Linked DNA regions of Saccharomyces cerevisiae S288C. The gene in region 1 interacts genetically with each later gene. Each region holds a gene or a part of one and is shown in the gene's direction. Other genes may lie near its edges.

What was found.
Region 2: mutations in YDJ1 (region 1) and CDC7 together harm fitness more than expected from each alone (negative genetic interaction), as found in Saccharomyces cerevisiae (3 studies listed by BioGRID).
Region 3: mutations in YDJ1 (region 1) and COP1 together harm fitness more than expected from each alone (negative genetic interaction), as found in Saccharomyces cerevisiae (3 studies listed by BioGRID).
Region 4: mutations in YDJ1 (region 1) and HEM13 together harm fitness more than expected from each alone (negative genetic interaction), as found in Saccharomyces cerevisiae (2 studies listed by BioGRID).

What each region holds. Positions count from the first base shown.
Region 1 is NC_001146.8:504,769-509,064, reverse strand, and holds YDJ1 (type I HSP40 co-chaperone YDJ1), read left to right. Parts: upstream 1-1,967; coding exon 1,968-3,197; downstream 3,198-4,296. Other genes in the region: tRNA 1-methyladenosine methyltransferase subunit GCD10, read left to right, coding at 1-289; MTQ1 (S-adenosylmethionine-dependent methyltransferase), read right to left, coding at 363-1,307; AQR1 (Aqr1p), read right to left, coding at 3,581-4,296. UniProt on the Saccharomyces cerevisiae protein: Probably involved in mitochondrial protein import. Is also required for efficient translocation of pre-pro-alpha-factor. Involved in heme regulation of HAP1, as a component of the high-molecular-weight (HMC) complex.
Region 2 is NC_001136.10:422,314-426,831, forward strand, and holds CDC7 (serine/threonine protein kinase CDC7), read left to right. Parts: upstream 1-1,895; coding exon 1,896-3,419; downstream 3,420-4,518. Other genes in the region: ERP3 (Erp3p), read right to left, coding at 520-1,197; trans-2-enoyl-CoA reductase (NADPH) TSC13, read right to left, coding at 3,689-4,518. UniProt on the Saccharomyces cerevisiae protein: Serine/threonine-protein kinase. Needed for the initiation of DNA synthesis during mitosis as well as for synaptonemal complex formation and commitment to recombination during meiosis. Required for HTA1-HTB1 locus transcription repression.
Region 3 is NC_001136.10:193,810-200,172, reverse strand, and holds COP1 (coatomer subunit alpha), read left to right. Parts: upstream 1-1,996; coding exon 1,997-5,602; downstream 5,603-6,363. Other genes in the region: chaperonin-containing T-complex subunit CCT4, read right to left, coding at 1-177; YDL144C (uncharacterized protein), read left to right, coding at 441-1,511; LDB17 (Ldb17p), read right to left, coding at 5,948-6,363. UniProt on the Saccharomyces cerevisiae protein: The coatomer is a cytosolic protein complex that binds to dilysine motifs and reversibly associates with Golgi non-clathrin-coated vesicles, which further mediate biosynthetic protein transport from the ER, via the Golgi up to the trans Golgi network.
Region 4 is NC_001136.10:544,933-548,597, forward strand, and holds HEM13 (coproporphyrinogen oxidase), read left to right. Parts: upstream 1-1,709; coding exon 1,710-2,696; downstream 2,697-3,665. Other genes in the region: DNA-directed RNA polymerase III core subunit RPC11, read right to left, coding at 3,046-3,378.

The sequences.
Region 1 (4,296 bases):
AAGGCCGATTGTATGCTATGGTCAATTCAAAGAAACTTTGTTGGAATTAGCTCATACTTTATATTCAGACCTCAGGTTTTTAGCACCATCAATTTTGGAAACTAGATGTAGGCCGTACCAAAGTATAAGGGGTAAGCTACACCCTCTGATGACCATGAAAGGTGGTGGTGGATATCTAATGTGGTGTCACAGAGTCATCCCTGCTCCTGAACCTGTATCGGAAAACGCGACTGCAGCTGACTCCAGTGAAAAGCTTGCTGAACATGGAGCTAAGAAACAAAAAATATAAATGTCCACAGAGTGTTCCGTTTGATAACTTCCAACAAAAAAACCTGAGAATATATATATTTACATTTATATACTTAGTTGCAATTAGCTTTGTGCCCACTGAGTGCGGTTGCTAAATGTCTTATAGTCCCAAAGGATGCAAAAATCTGGTGTAGTATTCGCCCTTTGGGAGTGGCCTTAAACCCATATACGACTCTTGCTTTCCCATTCGAGTCATATTTCAAACCAATAGACCAAATACGGCTGAGATATGAATCTTCTTTAATGCGCCTCTCCACGTAATTAAACTGTTCAACGTCTCCAATCTCATAAAAGAAGGAGTCTGTCTTCGGCAGCCAATAATTTACTAGATTTATATAGCATTCAAGCTCACCCACTAGCGCTAGCCTTGGTTCGAACAGCTTTACGGAAGTTTTAACATCTCTATTGAAGTCACGCTTTCGAATGTAGGGGGGGTTACCGGTTAATATATCTATATGGGATGGATATTCATCGCTAGCTTTTGAGGACAATATATTATGTTGCACGAGCTTACCACCACTCACCTTGTTTTTCAGCATATTTTCTTTAACCAACTTAATTGCTCTTGTTGACACGTCAATGGCAGTGAACGTGCAATTTGCTATACCATGACTCAAAGCGAGAGCAATACACCCTGTTCCTGTAAACGTATCACAAATATGCAGTGGTATAGTATGCCTTGAAAGCATAGAGTTGTTTAGAGCTCTTATTATGGCCATCACCCATTCCTCGGTTTCCCATCTTGGTATAAGAACACCAGGCTTGCAAACTATGTCCAAGGCCCCAAACGGTTGCGATCTTAAGATGTACTGCAATGGGACGTGTTTGTATCTCTGTAAGCAAGCCCAGCGGATTGATTTATCCGGAGGCAGCTCTTCGGTGAGCCATTTGTACTCGAGTTTCGCTTGCTCGAGAGTCCTACATTCTGGAAGCAAAAGATGCAAACCAGGTCGTATTCTCGAAGCTTTTCTTATCAATGATGTAGATATTCGAGGCATATGTTCTTTCTAACCGTTTCTTTTTCGTTCCTACCATTCAACTATCGCTCCTTGTCTACGAGTTAAGGGGAAGAGAGTGCAGAGTTTCTAAAAGCACTTGAAAACGTAACAAGACATTGACCGTAGAGAGTCGGCAAAATAAAGTCGTTTATACACGTTTGAGTTGTGTGTATTCAACTATGGAATACATTGTTATAATGAGTATGTTGGTATAAAATAAGATGTGAAGTCGCTGGTTTGAGCACGTGATATACACCTGACCTATAATATTTCGTACAAAATTATAGAAGGCCATCGAAAAAATAGAAAATTTTTTCATTTCTTTTTCAAGAAATGAAAAGGCAATAGAGCATCGGCAGGTATGGAAAGTATTTAACTTGCAGATCAATCCACGTACTTATAAAACGTGTAAAAACTTGCTCTACGTTTATATGTTGGTTAGGTAGTTCTTGTTTGATAAGGTGTGTAGTTCGTTTTTATAAATCAAAGTCACAAAAAGTCCTTTTCCCCATATATATTAGGCCCGAACAAGCGTCTTATTTGATAACTGTTACGTATTTATTTTTTTGTTATTTGTTACCATATCTTTTGATAGAACATAATTAAAAATTATCCAAACTGAATTCTACATCTTCCAACAACAATAATAAACGTCCAAAGATGGTTAAAGAAACTAAGTTTTACGATATTCTAGGTGTTCCAGTAACTGCCACTGATGTCGAAATTAAGAAAGCTTATAGAAAATGCGCCTTAAAATACCATCCAGATAAGAATCCAAGTGAGGAAGCTGCAGAAAAGTTCAAAGAAGCTTCAGCAGCCTATGAAATTTTATCAGATCCTGAAAAGAGAGATATATATGACCAATTTGGTGAAGATGGTCTAAGTGGTGCTGGTGGCGCTGGCGGATTCCCAGGTGGTGGATTCGGTTTTGGTGACGATATCTTTTCCCAATTCTTTGGTGCTGGTGGCGCACAAAGACCAAGAGGTCCCCAAAGAGGTAAAGATATCAAGCATGAAATTTCTGCCTCACTTGAAGAATTATATAAGGGTAGGACAGCTAAGTTAGCCCTTAACAAACAGATCCTATGTAAAGAATGTGAAGGTCGTGGTGGTAAGAAAGGCGCCGTCAAGAAGTGTACCAGCTGTAATGGTCAAGGTATTAAATTTGTAACAAGACAAATGGGTCCAATGATCCAAAGATTCCAAACAGAGTGTGATGTCTGTCACGGTACTGGTGATATCATTGATCCTAAGGATCGTTGTAAATCTTGTAACGGTAAGAAAGTTGAAAACGAAAGGAAGATCCTAGAAGTCCATGTCGAACCAGGTATGAAAGATGGTCAAAGAATCGTTTTCAAAGGTGAAGCTGACCAAGCCCCAGATGTCATTCCAGGTGATGTTGTCTTCATAGTTTCTGAGAGACCACACAAGAGCTTCAAGAGAGATGGTGATGATTTAGTATATGAGGCTGAAATTGATCTATTGACTGCTATCGCTGGTGGTGAATTTGCATTGGAACATGTTTCTGGTGATTGGTTAAAGGTCGGTATTGTTCCAGGTGAAGTTATTGCCCCAGGTATGCGTAAGGTCATCGAAGGTAAAGGTATGCCAATTCCAAAATACGGTGGCTATGGTAATTTAATCATCAAATTTACTATCAAGTTCCCAGAAAACCATTTCACATCAGAAGAAAACTTGAAGAAGTTAGAAGAAATTTTGCCTCCAAGAATTGTCCCAGCCATTCCAAAGAAAGCTACTGTGGACGAATGTGTACTCGCAGACTTTGACCCAGCCAAATACAACAGAACACGGGCCTCCAGGGGTGGTGCAAACTATGATTCCGATGAAGAAGAACAAGGTGGCGAAGGTGTTCAATGTGCATCTCAATGATTTTCTTGATAAAAAAAGATCAACTTATTCACGATTCATTTATTCATCATACTTTTCACTTCAAAATACAGTTTTGTAGCTATACATATGTAAAGTAATAATGGTAGAAAATGCAGTTTACCAAAAAAAGTTCTAATTATGACGAAATCTTAAGGAAAGAGTAAAGCAGGGATTATATGCTGAAATTTCCACTGTATATATTTGCCACAGAAAACCATTTTTTGTATTAGGTATATTTAGTGCACCTTTAACATGTCAATAATTCAACGGAAAATTAACGAAGTAAATAATACATTAATTAGGAAAAATTTACATGAAAGTCTATAAGCTGTTTATAAAAAAAATATGCAGGGATAAGTGTCTATCAAATTGAAGAATGCCAATTAATTATGATTATCGTTCTGGTCTCTTTTTGTTCCCTTTTTGGCTTTGACTGCCAAGGTGTTTAACCAAGACTGTCTTTGTTGTTTCAATAATCTATCCTCCCTCCACTTCATACCATATTTCATCGGAATAAACATTAAGAAGTTGAAGAAAAATACCAGCGCACATAAAAATGTAAAAGTACCACCTACAGTCATCGCAGCTTTCATTTTGGCAAAGCAACCCATGAAGATGGTACTCAAACTGCACCTAACAAAGTTGAAACAACTACTTGCTGTAGATGATTTCGTTGGGTACAAATCGACCAATAACGTAGTTGATGTTGATAATGTACTCATAGCACAGTATGAACAGACAAATGAAGTAATTAAAATAGATTCGATCCTCCAGCCCTTATCTATACTCCAACCAAATAAAAGATAGGCTACGACGGCCAAGAAATTTTGGGGCAGAAGACAAACTAAACGGACTTTGAACATATTAATCTCTGCGTCTTGTGGAATCAACCCGTTAGCTTTGTCTTGCTCGAATTTCTTGATCTTTCTCTTGAAATACATGTCAATAATTCTACCTGTGAAGAAGGAACCCATTAAACCGCCAATACCACCGGGTAGATAACACACACCAATAATGACCAAATGATAGTTGTATGGCGCCACTGATAAACCGGATGAAATAGAGGAAAGCATTAACGTCCACATAGCAAATAAGAGCC
Region 2 (4,518 bases), on another chromosome or scaffold:
TTAAGGCTTTGGGATAGCATGTTCAATCTTGCCTGTAATGCGGATTGACTCTTTGTAAACAATTTTACAAGATACATTAATAGATGAATCGGCAATTTTTCTTTTTCAAAGTTGTGTTATATCCTTGTATTTTCTGGCACACTTGCTTATCACTTCTTTCACTAAAAATATAGTTTAACACTCCAAGAGGAATACCATCCCCAAGCGAGTTGATTGACTGCAAGTGTAATTAAATAGGTGGAAATTGCATGGTGCATATGCCAATGGCTAAGAAAAAATTACTCTTACAAAGATTATTTTGTCAATTTCTCGAAGAAAACAATGCTACATTTTGAAATAGGATTTTTTAAATCGTGACATGTGCTTTAATAGAAACGTCACTTCAGCTCTGTCATTACATAAGATTTAACATGAGCAAAAGGGCTATTTTGGATACGGTATGTCATTCCTTTCCCCTATTAAATATGAAGAACATATATTCTCAAGTTGATAGAAAATGCAGGAACAATACACAACTATTTACACATTATGCTTTCTCGATTCTCTGAAAATGAACTCCAGTATGGCAATTTGAGCGCAGCTCATTCCGATGATTAATAATATGCCGTAAATAGAAAACATTACAATTCTATGCTCTGTTGAACAAACGGTGTGATGATTTCTGGTGTTTCTGCTTTTATAGTACTGTATATTACGTTCCAAAACGTGGAGCTGCCTTTCTATGGTGTCTATAGAATTTTCCACACTGTCTTGCAAGGGATCGGTTTTAGAGTCTCTCAGGTTTCTCTGCGCCTTTCTCGCCTTGCGTCTTTCATTTCGAATATCATCTTGGCGTTCACAATTGTACTTGAAGTCCAGATCAACAATCTTGTCGTGTGCTTTACCACCATAAAAGCAGATAGCATATTCTCCCTTATGTTGGCCTATAAATGACCATTCACCTTGACGTTCACCAGATCTCTCGATTATTGGCTTGTTTTTGTCATCAGGAGCAAATATTTCGTAGTTAACATCAAAGTCATTGCTCTCTCCTTGCTGTACTGCAAAATAATATGAGATTGTACAGTCAATTTCCGGAGTTAGCGTATATAAGCACTCCTTTCGACCTTTATTCAGTTCAAATGTCAACGGTGATGCCTCAGCAAAAAATTGTGCTAAAAAAAAAAACTGGAAGAAAAGTACACATAAATTGGACATGACGGAGTTTTTTAGTCAGTTCACAGTGTCCCTTCAAGTACGGTAACTATCAAGAGCCTTACCAGTTTCTGTCAAGATATTGTCCCCCCAAATTCTTTCATTGAGGAGAGGATTATGAAGAACGCGTTCTGTTTTAAAGAGAGAAAAATTCAGGTCAGGACGCGTTGGTCTCACCTTTGTTGACATAATGACCATGACAGTGTAGGAAGTCTAAGTAGTATGTGGAAACCTACGCGATCATACTGATACGTTCGTAAACTTTATCAACGAACGACGCTTTTTTTTTAAACCTCTATATAAGCATGTTTTTAGCTTGGGAAATTAAGGTGTAGCCCTGGTTTTGAAGATAATTAAGAATCTAATGGGGCAATGCTTGTGTAGATGACATTTTATAGAGTAAAATTACTTCCCGTTTAGCTCGATAAACGCCTTAGGCCTACATAAATCTTAAACATTTGTCCCCGGTCAGCTTTTAAATTATGTCTTCTTTGCCCTGGGGCGTCTTCTTGAACGGCATCAATTTAGTGAGTAGAAGAGCACTTCACATTTCCGCCTAAAATCAATGCAAGAACCATTAACAAAAAAAACCGCTCAGCAGGCGTAACGGGAAGTAACAGACTACCTTAAATTTTCAATAACAATTGTGCTATTATCTAATTTTCTTAGGAAAGAGGCAGTTTCGAAGTAGAACAATCATAATGACAAGCAAAACGAAGAATATCGATGATATACCTCCAGAAATCAAAGAAGAGATGATACAGCTCTATCATGATCTACCGGGTATAGAAAATGAATATAAACTCATAGACAAGATCGGTGAGGGAACATTTTCGTCAGTGTATAAAGCCAAAGATATCACTGGGAAAATAACAAAAAAATTTGCATCACATTTTTGGAATTATGGTTCGAACTATGTTGCTTTGAAGAAAATATACGTTACCTCGTCACCGCAAAGAATTTATAATGAGCTCAACCTGCTGTACATAATGACGGGATCTTCGAGAGTAGCCCCTCTATGTGATGCAAAAAGGGTGCGAGATCAAGTCATTGCTGTTTTACCGTACTATCCCCACGAGGAGTTCCGAACTTTCTACAGGGATCTACCAATCAAGGGAATCAAGAAGTACATTTGGGAGCTACTAAGAGCATTGAAGTTTGTTCATTCGAAGGGAATTATTCATAGAGACATCAAACCGACAAATTTTTTATTTAATTTGGAATTGGGGCGTGGAGTGCTTGTTGATTTTGGTCTAGCCGAGGCTCAAATGGATTATAAAAGCATGATATCTAGTCAAAACGATTACGACAATTATGCAAATACAAACCATGATGGTGGATATTCAATGAGGAATCACGAACAATTTTGTCCATGCATTATGCGTAATCAATATTCTCCTAACTCACATAACCAAACACCTCCTATGGTCACCATACAAAATGGCAAGGTCGTCCACTTAAACAATGTAAATGGGGTGGATCTGACAAAGGGTTATCCTAAAAATGAAACGCGTAGAATTAAAAGGGCTAATAGAGCAGGGACTCGTGGATTTCGGGCACCAGAAGTGTTAATGAAGTGTGGGGCTCAAAGCACAAAGATTGATATATGGTCCGTAGGTGTTATTCTTTTAAGTCTTTTGGGCAGAAGATTTCCAATGTTCCAAAGTTTAGATGATGCGGATTCTTTGCTAGAGTTATGTACTATTTTTGGTTGGAAAGAATTAAGAAAATGCGCAGCGTTGCATGGATTGGGTTTCGAAGCTAGTGGGCTCATTTGGGATAAACCAAACGGATATTCTAATGGATTGAAGGAATTTGTTTATGATTTGCTTAATAAAGAATGTACCATAGGTACGTTCCCTGAGTACAGTGTTGCTTTTGAAACATTCGGATTTCTACAACAAGAATTACATGACAGGATGTCCATTGAACCTCAATTACCTGACCCCAAGACAAATATGGATGCTGTTGATGCCTATGAGTTGAAAAAGTATCAAGAAGAAATTTGGTCCGATCATTATTGGTGCTTCCAGGTTTTGGAACAATGCTTCGAAATGGATCCTCAAAAGCGTAGTTCAGCAGAAGATTTACTGAAAACCCCGTTTTTCAATGAATTGAATGAAAACACATATTTACTGGATGGCGAGAGTACTGACGAAGATGACGTTGTCAGCTCAAGCGAGGCAGATTTGCTCGATAAGGATGTTCTCCTAATATCTGAATAGCAAAGTGATAAATTACTGCTAGTCTGAAATAATTTCCTTTTCTTTGGAAAGAGAATTTTAAAAGTACTTACATATTTGCATAGTGAAAGATTTAAATAAAAATTTCTTAAAGTGAAACGGTTTAGCATAATTGGTGGCATGCGCTTAAGATAGTGCCAAATACCAAAAGGCACAGGTGCAGACGATACTTAAACAATAGTGCTACTACGCCACTTCGTGAAAGCTAATATCTCTTTACCTTGCATTTGGGCATGTTGCAAACAGGAGGATCAAAATACAAATGGAATCAAGAATGCTCTTCTGGTATGATACTTTTTGTTTTTCTTTTGAGCCCATGCGTACATTTGAGCTGTTGAAACAGTCAAAAATAAAACGGCAAATAAATTGAACTTGAACACAAAAGTAAACCAAATCCAAGACCAAACTTCAAAAGTATAGTTGGGAGCAACAAAAAGATTGAAAATACCTTGATTCAATGGGACACGGATCTTAGCGTTACCATGCTTCTTTTGATAGTCACCCCATAGGCGCAATTTAATGTGGCAATAAAAGTTCCATAGTTCTGAAAGCACGAAAAGACCAATTAATGTACTCAAGTCATCCAATTTCAAATATGAATAGTATTTGAATAACTTAGCATTCCCAAAGGGGAAGCCGTAGCCAAAGTAACCGAATGAAATGAGACCGCTTAGAACCCAGTAATGGAAACAATTTTTGAACAGGTTGAAAATTGGCATAGTAGCTAAAGAGAATTGGTGAACAAATAAGGTTTCAAATAATCTCTTTCCATAATGTCCTAAAATTAAAAAATATGCAACCCTGTTTAAAAATGGATTATAGTCGGAGCTAGCACTGTGCCATCTATCAACAACTGTGGGAATGGTAGATAGATAATAAAAAAGGGAGTGAACCAAGACTGGACCCAAATACTCACAAAAGAAGACTAATCTCCATGAAATTTGGGGACCCAAATCTTTGATGAAGAATTCCATTGAGTCATCAGCCTCTTCTTGAAAAAACGATTCTGAAATAACCGGAACTTGTTTAGATTCCTTTTTGTAGGTTAATCTTATCCTGTACTTGCTGATATTGTGGTTAT
Region 3 (6,363 bases), on another chromosome or scaffold:
ATTAGAGATGATGATTTCTCCACGAGATGTCTTAATCATCTTGTCCATACCCTTGGGACCCAATGAAGTACGGATGGCATCTGCAACAGAACGTGCAGCGATGATGTTGGCTTTGCGAACCTCTTGAGGTTTTTCCTTGTTCTTAAACGTGGCGTTAGATGGAACTTTAGCAGACATCGTTCTATACTCTCCTTTACCCGTCTTGCACACTTGCCGCACCTCCAATTACAATTCATAACCTTCATGCCCACTTAGCTATATCAACCTCTTGAACTGTATTCAATTAGCCTTTCTTGGTGGCGAAACGAAAAAAATTTCAGTTTCCCCGTGGCAAGTGATAGTAATACCAAATTATATAGCCTTAATTAGGACATATTGATATACCTCATAAACTACAGTCCCGGTGCCAGGATACAAGTTGGCATAAGCTAATGTCGAAAATGTCTAGAATACTAGTTATCGGGGCAGGTGGCGTTGGGGTCATTACTGCGCTTTCGTTGTGGCTTAAGAAGGAGAGCGACGTTTCCTTGGTAGTCAGATCTGACTACGATAGGGTATTGAAGCATGGCTACACAATCGAATCATGTGACTATGGCCGGTTAGAAGGTTGGAGACCCCACCATATTTACAGCAGCGTCGAGGACGCTGCTTCTGCCGCAGACAACCAAGGATACAACTATATTGTAGTGACTACCAAGAACATCATAGATGGGCCCGTTAATTCAAGGGTGTCCAACATCATCAGACCTGTGCTTGAGAAGAATAAAGAGCTACATGGGCCGCAATTGACGACACACATTTTACTGGTACAGAACGGAATCGATATTGAGAAGGAGATATGGGCGGAATTTCCCAGAGAGCAGTATCGTTACACGGTGCTTTCTGGCATCCAGTTAATCGGATCCACTAAGATCGGGTCAGGCCATATCAGTCAAGTGGGCCAGGACCACTTATCGTGTGGAGCTTTTGATCCACAGGACGCTGCTGCTATCCAGGCTGCCAACGACTTCGTCAGGATGTACAGCAACGAGGGGCAAAACTTTGTCGAATTTGACCCTAGGGTCCGTTACTCTCGGTGGAAGAAGTTGCTCTACAATGCAGCTATCAACACATCCACGGCACTTGTGGGGCTAGACGTTCCGCGTTGCCTGGAGTTTGGGGTTAACAAGAAGAGCACAGAAATTGAAGTGTTCCACCCTGCCATGAGGGAGATCATCGCCATTGCGGCGAGTGAAGGCATCATTATCGAAGAGGAGTTCATAACGATGTTTACAGAGATTACCAGGAAAAAGGTGTTCAAGCCATCCATGTGCGTGGACTGCGAGAAGGGCCAATTGATGGAGCTAGAAGTCATCCTAGGCAACCCCATAAGAATCGCGAAAAGAAACGGCGTCGCTACACCCACTCTTTCTATCTTATACAACCTACTTGTGCTAGTACAGGCCAAACTAAAGGAGCGGAAAGGCCTATTGAAGTTCGACGAAAAAACTGCCACTCTTGTGGACGAGTAGTTCCAACCATTGCTTGCCTCGTTGACGAGCCTTCATCTAGTATATTGTAACACATAATTTAGTATGTACTCTTAACTATTATTCTTATTGTCAGCATTTATACGACGTACAGAGCGACCGAAAATTTCGACAACACGAAACGAAATCGACAATTTGCCAACTTGAATAAATAACAGATCCGTCTTCGAGACTGTGACGATTGAGCCTCGATTCAGTAGCATACAGGGACCACAAACTTGTTTGAAGAGGCATTGCAATTAGGTAAATCATAGAATTGGCGAAACCAGCAGGATTTTCCAAACATTTGTTACTTACCCCCTTCTTTGCTTAAGATATAAAGTTTTTTCTTTTTATTTTATCTTCCCTTTACACTTTTGAATAAAAACATTATCATACCTGTTTACAAATTCGCGGTTTATTTAACCTGAAATCAGTATACTTTTTTTCTTCTGTAGTGTCTTTGTTCATTTCATTACTGGATCAAGATGAAGATGTTAACTAAATTTGAATCAAAGTCCACTAGGGCCAAGGGCATTGCCTTCCACCCCTCCAGACCTTGGGTTTTGGTGGCTTTGTTTTCCTCTACTATTCAATTATGGGATTACAGGATGGGAACACTACTTCACAGATTTGAAGACCACGAGGGCCCTGTTCGTGGGCTAGATTTCCATCCAACCCAACCGATTTTTGTTTCGGCAGGTGACGACTATACCATTAAAGTTTGGTCCTTAGATACTAACAAATGTCTATACACCTTAACTGGGCATTTGGATTATGTCCGTACCGTGTTTTTCCACCGTGAGCTGCCTTGGATCATATCTGCTTCTGATGACCAGACCATAAGAATCTGGAACTGGCAAAACCGTAAGGAAATTGCATGTTTGACCGGCCACAATCATTTTGTCATGTGTGCTCAATTTCATCCAACCGATGACCTGATCGTTTCCGCTTCTCTGGATGAAACCATCAGAATTTGGGATATTTCCGGTTTAAGGAAAAGACACTCCGCTCCTGGTACTAGTTCATTTGAGGAGCAAATGAGTGCACAACAAAATCTATTGGATGGCTCTCTTGGTGACTGTGTTGTCAAGTTTATTCTAGAGGGTCACACAAGAGGTGTCAACTGGGCCTCTTTCCATCCAACTTTACCATTGATTGTCTCCGGCAGTGACGACCGTCAAGTTAAATTATGGAGAATGAGTGCTACGAAAGCTTGGGAAGTTGATACTTGCAGAGGTCACACTAACAATGTTGATAGTGTTATCTTTCACCCACATCAAAACTTGATCATTTCTGTCGGTGAAGACAAAACGCTAAGGGTTTGGGATCTTGACAAGAGAACTCCAGTAAAGCAATTCAAAAGAGAAAACGATAGATTTTGGTTGATTGCAGCACATCCTCATATCAATCTATTTGGTGCAGCTCACGATTCTGGTATTATGGTTTTCAAGCTCGATCGCGAAAGACCATGCAGCTTTATCCATCAAAACCAGTTGTTTTTTGTCAATGCGGAAAAGCAAATCCAAAGTTTCAATTTCCAGAAAAGAGTCGCTTCATTACCTTATGCGTCCTTAAAGGGTATTGGTCAACCTTGGGATGCATTCAGAAGTATATCGTACAATCCCTCCCAACATTCAGTTTTGGTTAATGAAGCTAATGGCAAATTTGCTCTCGTTATTTTACCAAAACAACCAGTTGGAGCTGTGGAGCCAACAAGTGTCACCCAAGATACAGGTAATTTTGCTACTTTTGTTGGTCGTAATAGATTTGTTGTTTACAACAAGAACACTGAATCTGTTGAAGTTCGCTCTCTCGAAAACAAAGTTACAAGAAATATCAAAGTAGAGGAAACAGTAAGAACTATTGTAGCTGCAGGTCCTGGATCTGTTTTGGTCATACACCCCAGAGAAGTTATTCTTTATGATGTCCAACAGGGCAAAAAAGTATCCCAATTGGCTGTTAAAAACGTCAAGTACGTTTCGTGGTCCTTAGATGGTCAATATGTTGCATTGATGAGTAAGCACACCATAACTTTGGCTACCAAAAAGCTAGAATTGATTAATTCTATGCATGAAACGATTAGAATCAAAAGTGCCGCTTGGGATGAAACTGGTGTATTAATTTATTCAACTTTAAATCATATAAGGTACTCACTATTGAACGGGGATAGAGGTATTATTAAAACTTTGGAGAAAACTTTATATATCACAAAAGTTCAGGGAAAATTAGTGTACTGCTTGAACCGTGAAGGTGAGATTGAAATTTTAACCATTGATCCTACAGAATATCGCTTCAAAAAGGCCCTGGTTAACAAAAATTTCCCAGAAGTTTTACGTCTGATAAAAGATTCTAATTTGGTTGGCCAGAATATCATTTCCTATCTGCAGAAGTCAGGTTACCCAGAAATTGCTTTACAATTCGTTCAAGACCCACATATCCGTTTTGATTTAGCTTTGGAATACGGTAATTTGGATGTTGCCTTAGATGAAGCCAAAAAACTGAATGATTCTAGTACTTGGGAAAGATTAATCCAAGAAGCCTTGGCACAAGGTAATGCCAGCTTAGCTGAAATGATTTATCAAACTCAACATTCTTTTGACAAACTTTCCTTCCTGTATTTAGTTACAGGTGACGTTAACAAACTATCTAAAATGCAAAATATCGCTCAGACTCGTGAAGACTTTGGAAGTATGCTATTAAACACCTTTTACAACAATTCAACCAAGGAAAGATCTAGCATTTTTGCAGAGGGCGGCTCTTTACCATTAGCTTATGCCGTAGCAAAGGCTAACGGAGATGAAGCGGCTGCTTCTGCTTTCTTGGAGCAAGCTGAAGTTGATGAACAAGATGTTACTTTACCAGACCAGATGGATGCCTCCAACTTCGTTCAAAGACCAGTGATCTCAAAGCCACTTGAAAAATGGCCATTAAAAGAGGCTGAACTATCTTACTTTGAAAAGGCTGTTTTAGGTCAAATTGACGATTTGACTATAGACGATGAAACTCCAGCAGTAAACACCACTCAAGAGCAAGAAGAACCACTAGGCGAAGAAAACTTTAACGATGAGGATATTGGTGAAGACGAAGGTGCCTGGGATTTGGGTGACGAAGATTTGGATGTGGGAGAAGAGTTACCTGAAGAAGTTGAGCAAGGCGAAATTACCTCTCCAGCACAGGAAGTTGAAACAGCCATTTGGATCAAGAATTCTAAACTGCCTGCTGTCCTAGTTGCCGCTGGTGCCTTTGATGCCGCTGTTCAAGCCTTGAGCAAGCAAGTGGGTGTAGTCAAGCTGGAGCCATTGAAGAAATATTTTACCAACATTTATGAGGGTTGTAGAACATACATTCCTAGTACGCCCTGTGAACTTCCTGCTCAATTAGGTTATGTCAGAGCGTATGATGATACCGTAAGTGAAGATCAAATTCTTCCTTACGTGCCAGGTCTTGATGTCGTTAATGAAAAAATGAATGAGGGTTACAAAAACTTTAAACTAAACAAACCAGATATTGCAATCGAATGCTTCAGAGAAGCTATCTACCGTATTACGCTATTAATGGTCGATGATGCTGAAGATGAAAAATTAGCACACAAGATACTGGAAACTGCTAGGGAGTATATATTAGGTTTATCCATTGAATTGGAACGCCGCTCATTAAAGGAGGGAAATACTGTACGCATGCTTGAGCTAGCTGCATACTTTACAAAGGCAAAACTATCCCCAATTCATCGTACCAATGCTTTACAAGTGGCTATGTCCCAACATTTCAAACACAAAAATTTCTTACAGGCCTCATATTTTGCCGGTGAATTTTTAAAGATTATTTCTTCTGGTCCTCGTGCAGAACAAGCACGTAAAATCAAAAACAAAGCCGACTCAATGGCCAGTGACGCCATTCCAATTGACTTTGATCCTTATGCTAAATTCGATATTTGTGCAGCCACCTACAAACCAATTTATGAAGATACACCTTCCGTTTCTGACCCATTAACAGGTAGTAAATACGTTATCACGGAAAAAGATAAAATAGATAGAATTGCTATGATTTCTAAGATCGGTGCACCTGCATCCGGATTAAGAATACGTGTATAAATGCTATTTTGCCTATTGATTTTCTCGGGATTGTATTCTGCTCGACCTAAATTTCATGTGACAAGTCCTTTTAATCTAAACAATATGATAGTGAAAAAAAAAAACTGACTATGTAATTAACAGTTATATACAACTTCTAAAATAAAAAATATCGCCTATTTTAACAAGTGACACACAACCTGAAATTCTGCCAGCATGTATTCGGAAGCAACCCGAACTTTAGTTTTATAGTTACGATTGTTGCATTTGTATATAAAAAGTACAATGTGTCATTAGATACTGCAGTGAGTAGAAGAAGAAATGGTCGGAAGAACCACATTAATGCAAGAAGAAATAATGCTTTACTTATTTTGGAGTTCCACATTTTCTTGATGGAGGAGGAGGAGGAGGCGGAGGCGGAGCTTTAGCCTTTCTTTTAGTCAAAGATTCTGCAGAAACATCTAATTCACGATTACTATAAAGATGGCCTTTACGAGCCAAGATATTTTGATTGTCGGGCGTCCCCAATGCAACAATGCTAGAGTTTCTACTAGTGTTATTACTAGAGACCGATGAACCTCCATCTGAAGGCGTTGAAGGTGTCTCTAACCAAGGAATTTGTTGAAGACACTTCCGAGATAAGGCCACTGTAACTTGATGCTCGTGCAACGCTGGACTGTCAACGCATATATTATCTAAAGTCGACAAGTAGTTTAATAGTTTATTCAAATCATCCTTTCTATAATGTGTTTTGGATAATTGTGTATTCTTTAATAGCGGAA
Region 4 (3,665 bases), on another chromosome or scaffold:
ACCGATATCGGCAGCTCGAAGCGTTTTTATGAACTGTAAAAATATGTCCTACATAGTTGTTTGGTAATTTTTTGGTTTTTTAAGATTGTTTTATGAATAGGTGTTTTACCAGAAGGCTATCGCCAGGTAACTCTTTTAACTAAATCGAAAAGATTTATTTGACGTGTCATATTGTAAAAACTAAATGGAAGACAGAAACTAACTTTGTCGACACCTATTTTAAACAAGTATCAAACGCGGGCTATAATTTTTATGAGAGCAATCAATGCAATGGAGTCTATTTCCGGTTAAATGGCACGATTGTGCGTAAAAACACGAGAAAGTGGAAGCATCTTTTTCTTAATGACGGATAATTACCCGAAACAGTGCAACTGCAAGTGCATACTCTTGAAGGACTTACATATTGAGAGGGAACACATTACTACCTTTCAAGAACACTCGCATTTACGGCGTACATATGGTTCCGCGGTAGACCCTAGGTTGAATTGAAAACCATGTTTTGAAGGAAAGCAAAGGCAGAATGAGAACATGGAGATGTAAATATTTTCCCAGTTAGGCATGACCCAAAATCGCAATCCAGATGCAATTTATTATGACACGTAGACCTTTCCGTATCTAACGTAATAAACGATATCTATTTTCGAGGCGCTCGACATCTCGTATCTGGGACAGAAAGTGAGGTAGATTATTCAAGAATACCTATTAAGAAAGGTAGAAGGTATTGCACCGATTCCTAGTATCAATTCTTTTCAAAACCACTTATTTTGCAAAACATGCGTCTAACCTGCCATTTCAGCAACGTAAATAATAATTACTTCCATATATATTCTTCTCCCCCAGTAGCAATTTTGACATGACAAATTTCAGCGATAGTTGCTTCGGCATTCGAAAATCGTAGAAGTATGTCTTAATGTAGAAGGTTGAGAACAACCGGATCTTGCGGTCATTTTTCTTTTCGAGGAAAGTGCAAGTCTGCCACTTTCCAGAAGGCATAGCCTTGCCCTTTTGTTGATATTTCTCCCCACCGTAATTGTTGCATTCGCGATCTTTTCAACAATACATTTTATCATCAAGCCCGCAAATCCTCTGGAGTTTGTCCTCTCGTTCACTGTTGGGAAAAACAATACGCCTAATTCGTGATTAAGATTCTTCAAACCATTTCCTGCGGAGTTTTTACTGTGTGTTGAACGGTTCACAGCGTAAAAAAAAGTTACTATAGGCACGGTATTTTAATTTCAATTGTTTAGAAAGTGCCTTCACACCATTAGCCCCTGGGATTACCGTCATAGGCACTTTCTGCTGAGCTCCTGCGAGATTTCTGCGCTGAAAGAGTAAAAGAAATCTTTCACAGCGGCTCCGCGGGCCCTTCTACTTTTAAACGAGTCGCAGGAACAGAAGCCAAATTTCAAAGAACGCTACGCTTTCGCCTTTTCTGGTTCTCCCACCAATAACGCTCCAGCTTGAACAAAGCATAAGACTGCAACCAAAGCGCTGACGGACGATCCGAAGATAAAGCTTGCTTTGCCCATTGTTCTCGTTTCGAAAGGCTATATAAGGACACGGATTTTCCTTTTTTTTTCCACCTATTGTCTTTCTTTGTTAAGCTTTTATTCTCCGGGTTTTCTTTTTTTGAGCATATCAAAAGCTTTCTTTTCGCAAATCAAACATAGCAAACCGAACTCTTCGAACACAATTAAATACACATAAAGATGCCTGCCCCTCAAGATCCAAGGAATCTTCCAATTAGACAACAAATGGAAGCTCTTATCCGTCGCAAACAAGCTGAAATCACGCAAGGTTTGGAATCCATCGATACTGTTAAGTTCCACGCTGATACTTGGACCCGTGGTAACGATGGTGGTGGTGGTACCTCTATGGTTATCCAAGACGGTACAACTTTCGAAAAAGGTGGTGTTAATGTCTCCGTTGTTTATGGTCAATTGAGCCCAGCGGCCGTTTCAGCCATGAAAGCTGATCATAAGAATCTGCGTCTACCAGAAGATCCAAAGACTGGTTTGCCAGTTACCGACGGTGTCAAGTTCTTCGCTTGTGGTTTAAGTATGGTCATTCATCCCGTTAACCCACACGCTCCAACCACGCACTTAAACTACCGTTACTTCGAAACTTGGAACCAAGATGGGACCCCACAAACTTGGTGGTTTGGTGGTGGTGCTGATTTGACACCTTCTTACTTATACGAAGAAGACGGTCAATTATTCCACCAACTGCACAAGGATGCCTTGGACAAGCACGACACTGCTTTGTACCCACGTTTCAAGAAATGGTGTGATGAGTACTTCTACATTACCCACCGTAAGGAAACACGTGGTATTGGTGGTATATTCTTTGACGATTATGATGAACGTGACCCACAAGAAATATTGAAGATGGTTGAAGACTGTTTCGATGCTTTCTTGCCATCCTACTTGACTATCGTCAAGAGAAGAAAAGATATGCCATATACAAAGGAAGAACAACAATGGCAGGCCATTAGACGTGGTAGATACGTTGAATTCAACTTAATCTACGATAGAGGTACCCAATTCGGTTTGAGAACCCCAGGCTCTAGAGTTGAGTCAATTTTGATGAGTTTGCCTGAACATGCTTCATGGTTATACAACCACCACCCTGCTCCTGGTTCCAGAGAAGCTAAATTACTAGAAGTTACCACCAAACCAAGAGAGTGGGTTAAATAATTCAAGGTTCTTTAGCAGACCGATTTTATGATCTCAATGACAATGATGATTTAATTATTTCGACCACTTATTTATACATTTTTTTATCTATTTATTATACCTCCTTTACATAATTCTTCAAATTCAATTGATACAGGATCTCTATTCTTAAAAATATTAATTATTGCGTCCTATTTATGATGCAAGTTCACAGTACGTGCAGGATCAAAAATTATATCAGTATCTATTGCTCTAAAAATATGGCAGCAGCCTTCATTCTCAATATGCGATCATGCCTTCTAATCAAATTTTAAGATGTTTTTATTACTCTTTTTATTCTTAGAAAATTCATCTTATATTCAAGGACTTCTTAATTTTCCTTCCATCTATGACCACAGTTTACACACTTATAAAAGGTAGTCATCGGCTCATCAGCTGACCTAATTTGTAGTTGGAAAAAGTAAGCACTCTCACCACCACAAGTATCATAATTGGGACATTGGGTTTTGGTTTGATCCACATTGTCCCAACCACCACCAAGAACATCATCAACTTCCTTTCTTGGAAGTTTCTTCCTATCATAGATTTCTATACCCTCTATAGGAAACTCATATGGACATGAACGGCATGCTAATGTATATACACCACTATCGCCACTCGTTATCAGTAGCATATTGTTACACGAAGGACAAAACGAAAGCATCCTAAATTATGTATTTTACGTTTTACCAATGAATGCGAACTCTTTTGCTTATATAGCCATATAACGTATGCGTTTTCCAGAAAGAAGATTCTCGGTTATGCTTTTGGATAAAACTTTTCCTACTGTTCTTTTGAACTGGATTTGAATTTTATATCGATCATCTTGCCATGTAATAATAGATGTCCAAAAATTTCATCTGCCATTTTTTTATTTTCCCGTTCGTTCACTTGCTCTAGTTTTTTTTTTTTTTTTTTTCAATACTCGGATTTGAAAATGTTAATGGGAGT